Cricetulus griseus: one gene and its partner. The protein of the gene in region 2 interacts with the protein of the main gene of each other region in a pairwise test. Links are inferred from orthologs where the notes say so. Each region holds a gene or a part of one and is shown on either strand. Other genes may lie near its edges.

The links.
Region 1: the proteins of Rnf185 (region 2) and Yipf2 interact in binary tests that used the Homo sapiens proteins (3 or more experiments, as listed by UniProt). The two-hybrid records come from large-scale screens. The link is inferred for Cricetulus griseus from reciprocal best matches to the Homo sapiens genes RNF185 and YIPF2.

What each region holds. Positions count from the first base shown.
Region 1 is NC_048597.1:134,467,640-134,475,343, reverse strand, and holds the start of Yipf2 (protein YIPF2), read left to right. Parts: upstream 1-3,215; 5' UTR 3,216-3,306; exon of another isoform or gene 3,307-3,497; 5' UTR 3,498-3,525; coding exon 3,526-3,556; intron 3,557-3,885; coding exon 3,886-4,043; intron 4,044-4,122; coding exon 4,123-4,203; intron 4,204-5,011; coding exon 5,012-5,099; intron 5,100-6,172; coding exon 6,173-6,289; intron 6,290-6,367; coding exon 6,368-6,534; intron 6,535-6,616; coding exon 6,617-6,799; intron 6,800-6,879; coding exon 6,880-6,993; 3' UTR 6,994-7,010; exon of another isoform or gene 7,011-7,012; intron 7,013-7,089; 3' UTR 7,090-7,704. Other genes in the region: Timm29 (mitochondrial import inner membrane translocase subunit Tim29), read right to left, coding at 2,251-2,939, 3,031-3,178.
Region 2 is NW_023276807.1:101,475,877-101,483,480, forward strand, and holds part of Rnf185 (E3 ubiquitin-protein ligase RNF185), read left to right. Parts: intron 1-4,608; coding exon 4,609-4,726; intron 4,727-6,760; coding exon 6,761-6,858; 3' UTR 6,859-7,604. UniProt on the Homo sapiens protein: E3 ubiquitin-protein ligase that regulates selective mitochondrial autophagy by mediating 'Lys-63'-linked polyubiquitination of BNIP1.

The sequences.
Region 1 (7,704 bases), on a different chromosome or scaffold from region 2:
TCTGTAATTCCAGTTCCAGGAGATTTAACCAATGCACATAAAATAAAGTTAAATATAAAAAAAGAGAGTCAGTAATGGAGGGTGAATTAAAAAAATACTTTATATACACATAAAATGCCTTAATGAATTTTATGTATCATTTACATATGCTAATTAAAACATCTAAAAATTAAGCTGGGAGCTGGTGGCGCTCGCCTTTAATCCCAGCACTCGGGAGGCAGACGAAGGCAGATCTCTGTGAGTTCGAGACCAGCCTGGTCTACAAGTGCTAGTTTGAGGACAGCCTCCAAAGCCACAGAGATATCCTGTCTTGAAAAACCAAAAAAAAAAAAAAAAAAAAAAACCCCAAAAAAAACCAAAAAAAAAAAAAAATCTAAAAATTACAAACGTGAACGTTTTAGAAACCTTTATTAGATTTTAATTTATTTTGTGAGCATGGAGGTCACAGGACAACTTGGAGTTGATTGATTCTCTCTCTCCCAGGTAAGTTCCAGGGCATGAACTCAGGTGGTTGGGCTTGGCTAAACATGCCTTTACCTACTGAGCCACCTTGACAGTCTCCAAAATGTGTATTAGCATCCTCATCTTGCCAAAAGGTTTGGACTTAAGAATTACCACACACCAGAGGTGATAGCACACACCTTTAATTCCAGCATACAGAAAGCAAAGACAGGGATCTCTGAGTTCCAGGACAGCCAGGTCCCCACAGAGAAACCCTGTCTCAAAAAACCCAAAAACCCAACCAAACAAAAAGAACTACCACACTTTCTGTACATCTGACAACAAAAGATAGAGACAAAACATACCACCAGGACTGGGGGTAGCTCAGTGTACAACAGATCTTAAACAAATCATGACAAAGAGGACTGGTTGATCCTCAGCCTTTATTGACTAGCCACAGGCCACCTGACACTGGTAGTCTTGCTTTCCTAATGTTTTAGCTTGAACTTTGCCAGATCCAACCTATGTGTCCCACCTTGTTCCTTTGCACAGAACTGTTTGAAGGGTCCCTGCAGTGTAATGACATATGACTGCATGTAGGCTTTGGGAGCTTTCCTCTGTGCTTCCAATTGCTGCCATACACCTAACACTGACATCTGTTCACTTCCATATCTATCTCCTGCACTGATGGTATTACACAATGTTACCAGTTAAGAGAAGCTAGGTCCAAGGGCCTCAAGGACTAAATAGAAACTATTAAACAAAACAAAAAAATCCCAAGAAGACCGGAGAAGGGGCTGGAGAGATGACTCAGAGGTTAAGAGCACTGACTACTCTTCCAGGGGACCTGAGTTCAATTCCCAGCAAACACAGGGTGGCTCATGACTATCTATAATGAAATCTGGTGCCCTCTTCTGGTATGCAGGCAGAACATTGTATACATAATAAATAAATACATTTTTAAAAAAATTTAGAAAAAATAATTTAAAAAATGGGGTTGGAGAGTGGCTCAGAGGTTAAGAGCACTTCCTGTTCTTCCAGAGTTCAACTCTCAGCAACCTCATGGTGGGTCACAAACATCTGTAATGAGACCTGATGCCTTATTCTGGCCTGCAGGCATACATGCAGATAGAAAAGTGCATACATTAAAAAAAAAAAAAAAAAAAGCCTTGGGGGTTCAGTGCTTGCCCTGTATGTACAAGACCCCGTCTTTGATGTCTAGTACTCAACAATAATAAAGTGTACAGCAGAACCCTTTCTCCCCCCATCTGGGAAGTGCAGGCAAGTCACCCTTTGCTACACAGTAGGCTATTATGCATGGACTGTGTACACTGTGGTGGACTGGAGCTGAGGCAGGAGGATTTAGGGTCAGTCTGGGTTCTTTGGGAGTCCTAGTCTCAAAACCCAACCAAATAAACAATAACCCCCAAACAAAAAGTTCTTTTTTGTTCTGTTTTACAGTGCTGGGATTGGAAGCCAAGAACCCAGGCACGCTAGGCAAGTGCTCTACCACTGAAGTACATCCCCGTCGACAACAGGCTACCCCATACAGGCTCCTTACTAGTACTTCTGGTGGTTATAAATATAACACGGACAAATGCTTCAGCTCTTCTCCATGTTCAAGACCAGTCCTTCAGCTGTTCTCCATCTCCAAGATCAGGAAAGCTTTCAATTAGCTTCGGCTAATGAAACAGACGGAGCGAGAAGGTCTTCCCACAAAACCACACCGAGCAGAGTTTACAACCAGCCATCTCATCCGTTGCATCCACTCGTGGCAAACAGTCTGCCTGAACCTGGAGACCTGGGGTTTCATCTGGAAACCTCGGCCTGCACCAGTGAATTGGCCTCGCTCAGCGCCAGTCTATCCTTTTTTTCCTTTTGCAAGACCTGCTCTTCCCACAGCGCCTGGTCCACCTGGTCATCAGTGAGCACAATCGGCTTGTACTTCTCCTCGAACAGCCTCTCGTTGGCCTCGGAATGCAGCTGGTGGGGCCCGACGACACGGAGGTGCGCAGGCAGGTGAAGAAACTCGTCGTCGTTAATGTCGCAATCCTGCATGCGGTTCTCCAGGATCCACCAACGGCCCAGGAACCCCACGTCGAGGACCCGACCGGGGAAGTCGATCCAACGCGGCTGCAGGTAGCGGCAGCGGGCCTGGTAGAGGCTGGCCTGGGCATCGAAGGGCGCCTCGTACACCAGCGAGCAGAGCCCCAGGTTCACGTGGCGCAGCCGCCCGCGGCCTCTCAGCCACAGCAGGCGCTGCAAGAACGCTTCCGAGTGACGGTTACGCGTGGCCGGCGCCAGCAGCAGGAGGGACCCCGACGCGTCGAGCAAGGCCTCTTCGAAGGTGGCCTCGCCAGGGGCCAGGGCGCAGCACGCCGCGGCGCCGCCCAACAGCCCCACGTAGACTGCCGCGCGGCCTGGCCGGGCCCGAGCCGCCGCCGCCGCGTCTCTGCAGGCCTCGGCGTAATCGCGAAGCAGCGCGCGGGTCCAAGTGCCTGAAGGAAAGACGCCAGCGCGGAGGTGACAGCGATCCGGGCACGCGGGCCGCCCCCCACCCCCGCCGCCACCCCCGCCGCCACTACTCACCCAGTCGCGCCCACAGCCCTGGCTTCGCCGCCACCGTCGCGGCAGCATTCGCCTCTCCTCGCGCTTCACTGCGCCCAGCGGACCCGAGCCTCTTGAGAGCGGCGGTGGCCATCCTCTTCCCGCCGTCCGTTGGCCAGCGGAAAAGCATAGCGGCGGAACCAAAGGTGCGGAGTGGCTCCTGCGCACGCGCAAGGTACCGGAAGTAGTTTCTCACTGAAAACCGGAAGCCGGGCTGGCGCCGGATGTTGCCGTTGCATGAAGAGTGGGCTCTGACGGGTACGCTGGCCGCACGCACGCGCACGGAGGATGGGCCACGCCAGCTTAGGTAGCCTTAGGTGAGGAGGGCGGGGTGCACCTGGCCCAGGGCTGGTCTCACTCCAGGTGTTCGGTAGGCTCCAGGCAGGACTGTAGGCGGAAGCATCAATCCTGGGGAGGGCTGAGGGACTGATGCAGTTCTGTCCACACAGCGCAATGCGGTGACGCCTCAAAAGAATCATGGCAGCGGCTGACGCACTGGCCTTCCATGGTGAGTGGGGCCGGGAAGTGGTCAGAGCTCCTACTCCTGTCCTAGGATAAAACTCCAGGCAGCTGGGACCTAGATCCCAGCGTGAACCTGGGGTTCATCCCGTACTCAGTCAATCCCTGCTCCCACTATAAACTCAGAGGCACATCAGAGCCTCCAAGTCTGCCTAGAACCTAACCTGAACCCCATCTTAGTCGAGAAACAGACTTCTCTATGCGTCAAAATTGAAGAAACGCAGTCCTTAGGGAGTGTAGTGAGGCAACCACAGCCCGGGGTGATGGTCAAGAGATTTTCAGAATCCAAACACCTGTGCCCATTTTCTCTGACCGTAGAGTTCGAAGAAGCCACAAATCTTCTGGCAGAGACCCCAGATGCAGCCACCACTAGCCAAAGTGATGCCCTGACCTCACGGGAGCACGTGACTGTGGTCGTGGGATCAGGTATTGGCTATGGAGCCGAAGTGGTGGAGGAAGAGGGCGATAGAGCATCGGTAAGTCCCCTGGGCCCCGCATGCCATGCCTGTCCATAGCTGGGCTGAGAGGCAGCTTCTGAAAGTTTGTGTCTTGTAGCTTCTACAGGAAGAAAAGCCACAGCCAAGATTCTGGACGTTTGACTACTATCAAAGCTTCTTTGATGTGGACACCTCCCAGGTGAGGCCTGGGACATTGGTTGTTTGGGGCTCAGCCACTGTATTTGGATGGACTGTGTGTGTGGTAGGGCCGGAAGGCAAGGTAGATGGGTGGGTGGGTATGGGTCTGAAAGCCAGTGTCTTCTCTCAGCCTCCTGGGTAGGTAGGGCCACAAATGGCACCACTTGGCCTGGATGAAAGCTCCATTAATGAGCTGAAGTTTGGGTCTTGGCCCGAGGCGATGGGGAGTTATGGAAGATTTTAGAGCAGGAGAGGGATGAGTAGAATAAGCAGATACAGATGTGGAACACAGGGCAGCCTCTGCTAATAAACCACATCTACTGAGAGGGCACATCCTGGAGATGTAGGAGGAAGAACATCCAGAATTTATGGACTGTCCTTACTGTGGCTGGGAGGAGAGGCTGCAAGAAGTTGAGAGAGGGGCTGACAATATGGCTCAGAGGTTAAAAGTACTGACTGCTCATCTAGAGAACCTGGGGGTTCAATTTCCAGCACCCACATGGTGGCTCACAACTGTTTGTAACTCCAGCTCCAGGGGACTTGACATGCACGGCAAAACACCAATGCACATTAAAAAAAATTTTAAAAAGAAATGGCATTCCCAAAAGCCTACATTCAGAGTAGTGACTTGTTCAGCAGGAGGTAGGGGTGTCAAGACCACAAGCCATAGAGACACCCAATGAACAGCTTGGAGGGGACAACTGAGCTTGTTTCAGTTAGGATGTAGTGGCAAAATAGTAGAAATCTACAGGGGCTATATCTCTCAGAATGCATGGATTTTCATTCTGGATCCTGGCTTTGCTCTCCAGGTCTTGGACCGGATTAAAGGTTCGCTGCTGCCCCACCCTGGCCACAACTTTGTGAGGTACCATCTTAGAAATCGGCCTGACCTATATGGTAAATGAGGCTATGTGTTTGATTTAACATACAAGGGTCTGTGCCAGGCCCTGAGCAGGGCAGTCAGTCATAAAGAAAATTTGTGTCTAGTTGAGGGAGACACCAGGATGGGAAGCAGGGCTAACACAGAGGATGAGTGGCATCACTGCCTGGTACAGAGAAGTCAGGAAGGCCTTTGAGTAGGGTAGGCAAATGAGTTTTGTTGGCATTGGTGGAGAAAAGCTTAGAAGGGAACCCAGAAAGTTTCTGGGACCCATGGTGGAAATAAAACTGAGTTGCATGGTGGCATAGGTCCCTGGAGTGGAAGGAACAGCTGGGAGCTCATGGGTAGGGGATGAGTACAGTGGTCCCATAACATCGCAAGAAGGGATCCTGGTGTGAAATTTTTAGAAAGATCTCCTCTGGCACTGTCGAAATTAATGGTAGAAGCCAGCTAGAGGAGGCAGGGGCAGACATTACAGTGGAGGCTGTAAGTGCAGAGTGATTGGTTCTAGAGTGGGAAAGGCAAGGGTGGTCTTCTACCCAGTCCACCAAGAGGAACGTCTGGGCAGGTATGAGGAGCAGATCAGGGGTACAGGGGCTGAGGACACACATATGAAGTTCAAAAATAAGCATGCAGTTCAGGGCCTGAAGCAACTTTGGAATGGACAGCTGAAGGTAGCATTCATGAAACCTTAGGTATGGACAAGATCCTGCCCACAGTGGAAAAGCACCAAGACTATTCTACCTATAAAGAACTTTCTTAGATAATGGGTGGTGGTAGAACAGGCCTTTAGTCCCAGCACTTGGGAGGCAGAGGCAAGTGGATCTCAGTGAGTTTGAGGCCAGCCTGATCTACAAAGTGAGTTCCAGTACACCCAGGACTGTTTAAAAAAAAAAAAAAAAAAAAACAAGCCAAGTGCTTGAGGGATTTTGGAAGTTATTTCTAGAAAGACAGGATGAGCCCAGAGGCAGCTCTTATTACCAGCCATCTGGAGAGTCAAATGCAGTCTGGGGTCTTACCACACTTAAAACAGGACATAGCTAACCTTTCCTAGGAGTGATGAACCTGGGACTCCATGTCCCTTTTGCAGGCCCTTTCTGGATCTGTGCTACGTTGGCCTTTGTCCTGGCAGTTACTGGCAACCTCACTTTGGTGCTTGCACAGAGGCGGGACCCCTCCATCCACTACAGCCCCCAGTTCCACAAGGGTAAGCAGAATGGGTGGGCTCAGCTCCTGGCTGCATGGGCCGCAGGGCATGCAGTAACTGCCCATGTTGCATTCCTAGTGACTATAGCTGGCATCACCATCTACTGCTATGCGTGGCTAGTGCCACTGGCACTGTGGGGCTTCCTTCGGTGGCGTCAGGGCACAAGGGAGCACATGGGGCTGTACACCTTCCTGGAGACGGTTTGTGTTTATGGCTACTCACTCTTTGTCTTCATCCCCACCGTGGTGAGTGTGGCTTGGCCCTGGGGACTGGTGGGAAGCTGAATGGCACCCCCTGTATGGTCACCAGTTACACTTGTCACACTAGGTCCTGTGGCTTATCCCAGTGGAGTGGCTGCAGTGGCTCTTTGGAGCACTGGCCCTGGCCCTGTCAGCTGCCGGGCTGGTGTTCACCCTGTGGCCTGTTGTTCGAGAGGATACAAGGCTGGTGGCTGCAGCACTGCTGTCCACTGTGGTGCTGCTTCACGCCCTCTTGGCTCTAGGTTGTAAGGTAGGGTCCTTCCTCAGCAGGGCTGTGGAGTGGGGCTTGCTGCTACCCAGCTGCACATTCACCCTGACATCTCTCTGCAGCTGTACTTCTTCCAGCCATTGCCCCTGGAACATGTGATACCAGCACCCCAAGCCACACTTCTATCTCCCAGTGTCCTGCTGCCCACCTCAGCCCGGTCCATGACAACCTTCTAGGAAAGCCAGGCCTGCAGGTGAGGGGCCAGTTTCTGTTGTGGCTAAGGGTTCACCTTCTTCCTCCTGGGGCCACTGCTAGCAGTCTCTCTTTTCCAGGTCAAACCCCAGGGGCTACGACCTGTCCTGCCCTCCCTGTGAAGATTAGAGGAGTCTTGGACCCTGGAGACCACCCTGCTACTTTGCAGGCTTTTCTTACAAAGCAAACACTTTTATTTTCTATGCAAAGGTGATCCAGAGAATTTATATAAAGGTGGGGGGGGCAGCCGAGCAGGAAATATTACTGATGGACAGAAGAGCCCGGTTTCCCAGCCTGCCTGTGGGCCCTGTTTCCCTTACAGGTCAGGGGGTGGCACAGGGCAGGTCCAGCCATTGCCAGGAGTACCTGTGGTGGGCATGGGCCCAGCCTGGGCTCTGGCCACTGAGGTGGGGACTCTAGGGCAAAGGAGCAGGGGAGAAACTGCCTTTCCTTCCTTGTTTGCTTTTCTTCTTGTTCTGTCTGGAGGGAGAGGTTCCTGCTAGGCCCCTTCTCAGGGGTGCTGTCTTGAGAGGAGGAAGTAGAGCATGAATGTGGAGTGCACACACAGGCCTATGTTAGCTATCAGGGAGAGGATGCCCTCCTTCCTTCTGTGACAGATCCTTGAGGTTTTTGTCTACCCCACTGGCCCTAGGTGACTTTCCCTCTGGGCTGCCTGTTCCAGGTTTTGGTGGAGG
Region 2 (7,604 bases):
CCATCATGGGCTCTGGAGTTAATTATCAGTCTTCATGGCAAGCCCCTTTACCACCAGATTGTCTTACCAGCCTGATTTCTTGGACTTTTGAGATAGGGTCCCACTATGTAGCCCAGGCTGATCTGGAATGAATGATCTTCCTGCCTCTGTTTCCTAGTACTGTTGTTATGGACATAGGCCACCATGCCTGGCTTACTTATTTTATGTGCAGTTGTTTTGCCTGTGTGTACATCTATGTGAGGGTTCCAGATCCTTGGAACTGGAATTGCAGTCAGTTGTGAGATGTCAAGTGGGTGCTGGGAATTGAACCCAAGTCCTCTGGAAGAGCAGACAGTACTCTTAAACTACTGAGCCATCTCTCTAGCCTCCTGCTTTTTGGGTTTTTGATTGTTTGTTTGTTTTACAATATTTGGCTCTTATTTTCTAATTTTAAAATTTTTATCTATTCTACAGATACTAGGTACCTTAATGTGCTCTGGTCACTATTTTGGCAGTGATAATTTATCAGTGAACCTAGCAAATGGTCTCTGCCCTCATGGAATGTCCTCATGAGAATTGGAATTTCAACAGTGCAGTTTAAAATGTTACTGAAATGTCACTGAAATGTCACGAAATTTAACAGCTGATGCTCAGTTGTGTAGACCTAATGTAATGGCATCTACTATATTATGGGACACTTACCTACTACCCTGCTGTCTTAAACATACTCGGATGAAATTACAAAGTTTTGTGTAGAACCACAATTATTTTATTATGATAAATTCTTAGAATTAGTGGCTCAAAATATGTATGCATTTAAATGAAATATTAGTCTTTTTTTTTTCCAAATAGCAGTTTCTGTTAAAGTATTAATGGGGACTGGAATGTAGCTCATTGCCAGGATCATAGTAGCAGTTAGGCAGGCATAGTGCTGGAGCAGCACCTTTGAGCTTAACATCCTTATCTATAAGCAGGAAGCAGAGAGAACCGACTGGAAATGCCTCGAGGCTTTTGAAACCTCAAAGCCCACCCCAGTGACACATCTCTTCCAACAAGGCCACACCTCTAATCCTTGACAAACAATTCCACCAACTGAGGATCAAACCGTTCAAATATGAGCCTATGGGGTCATTCTCATTCAAACCACTGCAGCTACTTAGTGAGTTCAGGGCCAGTCTAGGAATATGAAACTGTGTCAGAAAATCAATTAAAAATTTTAAAATGTACATTAAATGAAAATTTAAAGGGAACTTGTATGCCTGAACTGTTAGAATCCTAGAAACAAGTATATACTAATTTCTGCAGTTCTCATCATTTGTAACCATATATTCTTTTTGATTTTATTATAAATTATGTATATGTTTGTAGTGGGTATATACACTAGAGGCATCATATTCCACTGAAGCTAGAGTTGAAGGCAATTTTGAGCTACCCAACATGGGTGCTGGGAACTGAACTCAGGTCCTCTACAAGAACAATTTGTCATCTTAGTCATGGAGCCATGTCTCCTGCCTATATATTCTTATTTTTATGTCACTCCCACTATTCTGTTACTATTCTGGTTTCAAATTTAATTTTGACAGTATATTTCATGATATTCTAAACAAAGTATCTTCTAATGTCATTGTGTTTCCTTTTTAATATGTTGTTTTAGAGAGATGTTTGTTCATATTCTAGTCTTTTTTAATTATTTTGTATCATTTATTTATGTATATGTAAGATTATTCCCTGTGGAAACCAGAAAAGGACATAGGACCTCTGGATTCCCCTGCCTGCACTTCTCCAGCGCTAGGGATCGAACCCAGAGCTTTGTGCATGCTAGACAGCTCTACTCAACCCAGCTGCACCTCCAGCCTTCTTGGTTCCCTTTAGTGAAGGCTGCCATGTTATCTGAGAGAGAGAGACAGAGAGAGAGAGAGACAGAGAGAGACAGAGAGAATGAGAATGAGATTATGTCTATATAGGGGTGTGGAGGAATGCTCTGGGTATTAAATTCAAGGTGTTAAGTGTGCTAGGTAACATTGTACCACTGAGCTATATCACTATCCTTCCATTGAATTTTGATTTGGTATAATTTCAGTTCATCATTGAAGGGTCTTAGAGTTACTGACAGACTTTGCTATGTAAGTAACACCATGATAATCTTTGTACGCATCATTTTTTCACTTGAATTTGTGCATTTGAGGGGGGTTGGATTTTTGAGACAGGGTTTCTCTGTGTGGCCTGGCTGTCTTGAAACTCACTCTGTAAACCAGGCTAACCTTGAACTCAAACATCACCTGCCTCTGCCTTCCAAGTGCTGAGATTAAAGGCATGTACTACTACTACCCAGCTGAATTGGTGCATTTCTTTAGGAGTCCCAGTATGATAAGGTCAAGGATCTGATGAAAGTTGAGGTTCTTTTCTCCTATATTAAGAGTTTTGCTGGGTGGTGGTAGTGTGTACCTCTGAGTTTGAGACCATCCTGGTCTACATAATGAGATCCAGGACAGCCAGGACCGCACAGAGAAACCCTGTCTCATGACCTCATTTAAGCCTCATAAACACATGGAAAGGTGATAACTGAGGTCAGATATATGTGGTGTGCCTGTCTAGGTGCACACACAGAGCCAAAACCCAACCTGGGTGCTACCCAAGTCTCTGCTCTTGACTGCTAGACAGCAGCCCTTTACCTTCTCAGGCTCTGCTTGCTCAAGCATCATCATCAACCAATACAAGTCAGAGACCCCAGGAAGCCCGAGGCTTTAGCCCTGATGGCTGAGGACAGACCTAGGGTTATAAGCACCTGCAGCTGCTAGTAGTCTAGTATATCTGTCTTTTTTATTTTTGTTCTCTTAAGGTTTCACTGTGGAGCCCTGTCTTTGTTAGCTAGAGCTCAATATGTAGTCCAGGCTGACCTTGAACTCCCAGAGATCCAGCTGCCTCTGCCTCCCAAGTGCTGGGATTAGTGCATGCCACCATTCCAGTACCCTAACACCCCTGTCTTTCTATTATTTCATCATTTGTTCTAAAGAGCTCACCAGAAGTAAAAAGGAAGGAAAAGAGTTTGTAAGTTGTGCACTTGATTAAGTTGGCTGTATGTAAAGGCTCTTTGTCATGCAAGCCCAGTGACCTTTGTTCAATCCCCAGAACTCACATAGATGAAGAGGGTACTGACTCCACAAAGTTGTCCTTTGACCTCATGTGCACCGTGAAACATGTGCAATACACATAGGCACACTATATACAATTAAAACACATCTTTTTGAGTTTGGATTTTCAGATCAGATCGGGTTTAGTCTTCTGTAAAATGCTAATGCAAGAATTAAACATAAGCTGACACCCTAGGAGGTACTCATCTGTGATTCCAGCACTCAGGATGCTGAGGCAGGAGCATTGCAAATGTGAGGCCAGCCTACGCCACCTGTGAGATCCTGTCAGAGTTGGGATAAGGGAAAGGAAAGGCTGGATTTGAGTATCCTGTGCCAGGAGACTTTGCACTCAGACAGAGGTGTTGTTTATTAACAGCTGTTGTTTTGAGGAGTCCATCCTTGGAAAAGATCTCGTGTGGTGAATATGTTTGGGGGAAGAAACCAAGGCTGCTGTACAAACTGCTGACAGTGGCTGTTTAGGAAGATCTCTGACTTTAATTATCCAACTACCACCACTTAGCTTAAAATAATCTTTTGTTGTTGTTGTTGTTTTGTTTTTTTTGTTTTTTTTCTAGACAGGGTTTCTCTGTATTGCTTTGGAGGTTTGGAACTCACTCTATAGACCAGGCTGGCTCGAGCTCACAGAGATCCACCTGCCTCTTGCTTCTCGAGTGCTGGGATTAAAGGCATGTGCCACCAATGCCCTGCTTAAGATAATTTTTTTATGGCAAGGTCCTGTTGTGTATCCTGGGTTGGCTTTGAACTCAATATGTAGCTGAGGATGACCTGGAACTTCTGATCATCCTATGTTTACTTTGTGAGTGCTGTGATGATAGGTGTGTGCCACCATGCCTGACTTATGCTGTGCTTTATATTAAATCCAGGGCTATACCCAACAGCATCTGAAGGTTTTAAGGGAAATGCTTACCCATATCTTGACAAACATACTCATATTGTTATGTATGGGTGTTTAAGAAGTTTGACCGTTAAAATCACAAGGTTTACTATCTTGTTGCATAAATGAGCACCAGGGTCCTTGGAGAACATTTTACAAGATTTTGTTTGACTGATATTATTGACCAGAGTTCCATCTTTTTTGTTATTGCCTATAGTATATAGTTTGTAATATTCCTTTGCATTTGGGTATGACACTAATTGCCAAGGGTATTATATAAATAGCATGTTGGAAATTTTCCTGGCTAATGTGGAACCCTGGAAAATGATCTAAACATACTGATAAAAGTGTGTTTCACTTCTCGTCAGAGTGGGCTCTTTTTGCACCATATAGCTCCTTAGATTGGAGCTAAGGCTAGAAGGTCAGAGGTGCCTTTAGTGTTCCTTCACTCTGGGGCCTAGATGGGAGGAAGAGCTGAGGCCCTAGTTTGTGGAAAAGGGACAAGAAGAAATGTATGTGTCATATGCGCTATGATGTAAGACATAGTTTGAGAAATGTGAAATAAATCTGCTTATTTTTCTTAATTGCTTTTCTTCTCCACAGGGATTTCAAGGATTTGGATTTGGAGACGGTGGCTTTCAGATGTCTTTTGGAATCGGAGCATTTCCATTTGGGATATTTGCCACAGCATTTAACATAAACGATGGACGGCCTCCTCCAGGTAAGCCCCATTTCTCACAAACATAAATAATCCTGCTTGAAAACTCCTTGGAATTCAGCAGTATAGAAGTTACAGATAATTGTCAGTACATGGGTATCAGGCTTTGCAAACTCCCTTAATTCTTTGCAGATTACCACACTCATCCAGCAATTCTGAGCACATGCCATGTGCTAGGTATATGTGGGATGCTTTATGTTATATTACATACTGAGGGGCTCATCATCTGCACTCCAAATACCTATGCAGTTAGCTGCTTTATAGGTAAAATTCTCAGTAATGATTCCAAGACATAGCCCATGACCATTAGACTTAAGAATTATTAGCCAGCGTTGGTGGCACACGCCTTTAATCCCAGCACTGGGGAGGCAGAGGCAGGTGGATCTTTGTGAGTTCGAGACCAGCCTGGTGTACAAGAGCTAGTTGCAGGATAGACTCCAAAGCCACAGAGAAACCCTGTCTCGAAAAACCAAAAAAAAAAAAAAAAAAAAAAAAAAAGAATTATAGACAATACCTAGCTAATGAAAAGCTTAATTCTCTCTCTCTCTCTCCCTATCTCCCTCTCTCTCTATCTCTCTCTGTCTCTCTCTCTCTGTCTCTCTCTCTCTGTCTCTCTCTCTCTGTCTCTCTCTCTCTGTCTCTCTCTCTCTCTCTCTCTCTCTCTCTCTCTCTGTCTTTGATCATTTGAGGCCAGGGAGAAATGAAATGTTAGGGTTTCCTGTTCCCTGGCATCTCTGCCCAGCTTCTCTCAGGACACAAAACGGGGCTGATACCAAACTTGAAAGCTTTGTGAACTGTGTTCATATCTATTACCTGCTGCTGCATTTCTCCCTTCAGCTACTTGTCTATAACAGCTGCATTCAGAGTACAGCAAGGCAGCAAGGTGTATGCTAGACTGACACTCTGACACCTGAGCCACCATTCATGTCATGGAGCCTATAAAAGATGATATGGTTAGTTGAGCCCTTCTTACAGTCATTGGAGCCTTCTGGGACTTGAGTACAGTATGAGGAACAGAAGTGACCAGTGTAGCTCTGGTCAGGAACTTGTGCTCTGAATATGATCACCCACTCAGAAATCATCAAAGCTGTTCCCTGCTTCACCTGATTCCTTGAACATAGGCAATAAACCTCTTGGTTGCCTGCCTGCATGAGTTTATCAGAGCAACCAACTTTGAGGTAATGACATGCAACCCCACAAAATACTGGGCACTACTCCATCTTATCTGCCTGGAATGTTTCTCTGCTGTTCACACATTGTTTTCTCAGAGAAAGGGAACCCCAAAGGGCAGGATGTAATTTGCCATAAAGGAAAGACAGATCCCTGTAGCGGCAACAGGAACTTCTGACTAGCTTGATGCTTTCTAGCCTGGTCCAGCATTCAGACTGGCTCTCCCCCAGTTCATTCCCAGCCAGGCTGGGCTCTGGATCATTTTTTGTTGTCACAGTTTGGTATAGTTTGCACTGCCTGGATGTAGATCCTGTCACTTTGCTTCCTCTATAGTCTGAGCAGAGAACTCTTAACTAGAAGAGGTTCTCACTCAGTCTCCTTCTACCTTACCATATGATTTCTAGGCCCTGGTTCTCTTCTGGAAAAAACATGCACACAGACAGACAGAGAGCCATCTGGAATAGTGTACAGAGAGGCAGGAGAGTGCCACTGCTCATGTGTGAGCCCTTATGGTCTCAGAAGGCCCATGCTTTGCTTCTGCTACTGCTTTTTAAATGAGACCTACCAAGTATTACCATGCATGTGGCAGCATAGGGAAGACAGGTAAGAGGGTGTCTGTTCCCTGCGGGGAGTCCCTGATAGTCTACTGGCTCACTTGCATGTACAGGACAGCTCTTTTGAGATCACTGGAGAGCAAGGTCTTATTGTAGTAGTTCACTTATTTTTGTTTTGGTTCAAGCTTGGGAGTCTTTTTATTACAGGATTCTGTTATTAAAAGGAAACAAAGATTCATCCTCTCCAGTTCTGGCCCCAATGGGCAGTATGCACACAGACTTCTGACAAAGTCTCTTCCTCTTGTCTCTCTAGCTGTCCCTGGGACACCCCAGTACGTGGATGAGCAGTTCCTGTCTCGCCTCTTCCTGTTTGTAGCCCTGGTGATCATGTTCTGGCTCCTGATCGCCTAATACAGGACCCCTATTCGCATCTACAGCAGCACCTCTGGACTGGTGATATGCCACACCTGCTCCTGGTGTTTGACTTGTTTAATCCCAACCCCTGGAATCAAGGGTCAGAAACACATCAAGGAGTCTTGCTTCTCCATTAGAGCTTTGAACTCAAAACCAGTTGGTGAGGAAACTTCCCCAGTTTCACTACTGCTGTAAACACCCTCTATAACCTCAGGTCTTGTGTTGGATCACCTCTCATGGGTGACAATGTGAAGTCCTGTTGCAGCCTTCTCAGCAGGTCCCAGCTCTACATGGGGAAGAGATGGGAAGAGAAAAACAGTTTCTTTCACCAGAACTTTATATTACAAAAATGAAGGGATGAACCAAATGGTATTTATGGAAACTTACTTTCATCTTTTTTAAATACCCTTGGTAAGTGGACTCCACTCCCTATACTGAGAGATTCCCTTCCAGATTCCACTTCTATTCTGTCTGCCTTCCTGCCCTCCCCTTCCTCAACAAAGAAGGTCATAATTGCAGCATTAGAAGCTGAAGATGCTGTGTGACATTGTGAGACTCTGGTCTTTGATTGGCTCTGGGCCTCTGTCAGTTTCTTGACCTTAGAAAGCAGCTTGACCTCCTGGTTTCTTGGCCGATTATCCCTGGTATCACTTGGGTCAGATTTCCTGTCAGCTTTTTCCTCTAAACTACTGCTGCATTTGAACCATCTACTCTGCTTCAGAGCTTTGATGCAGGGACAGCGG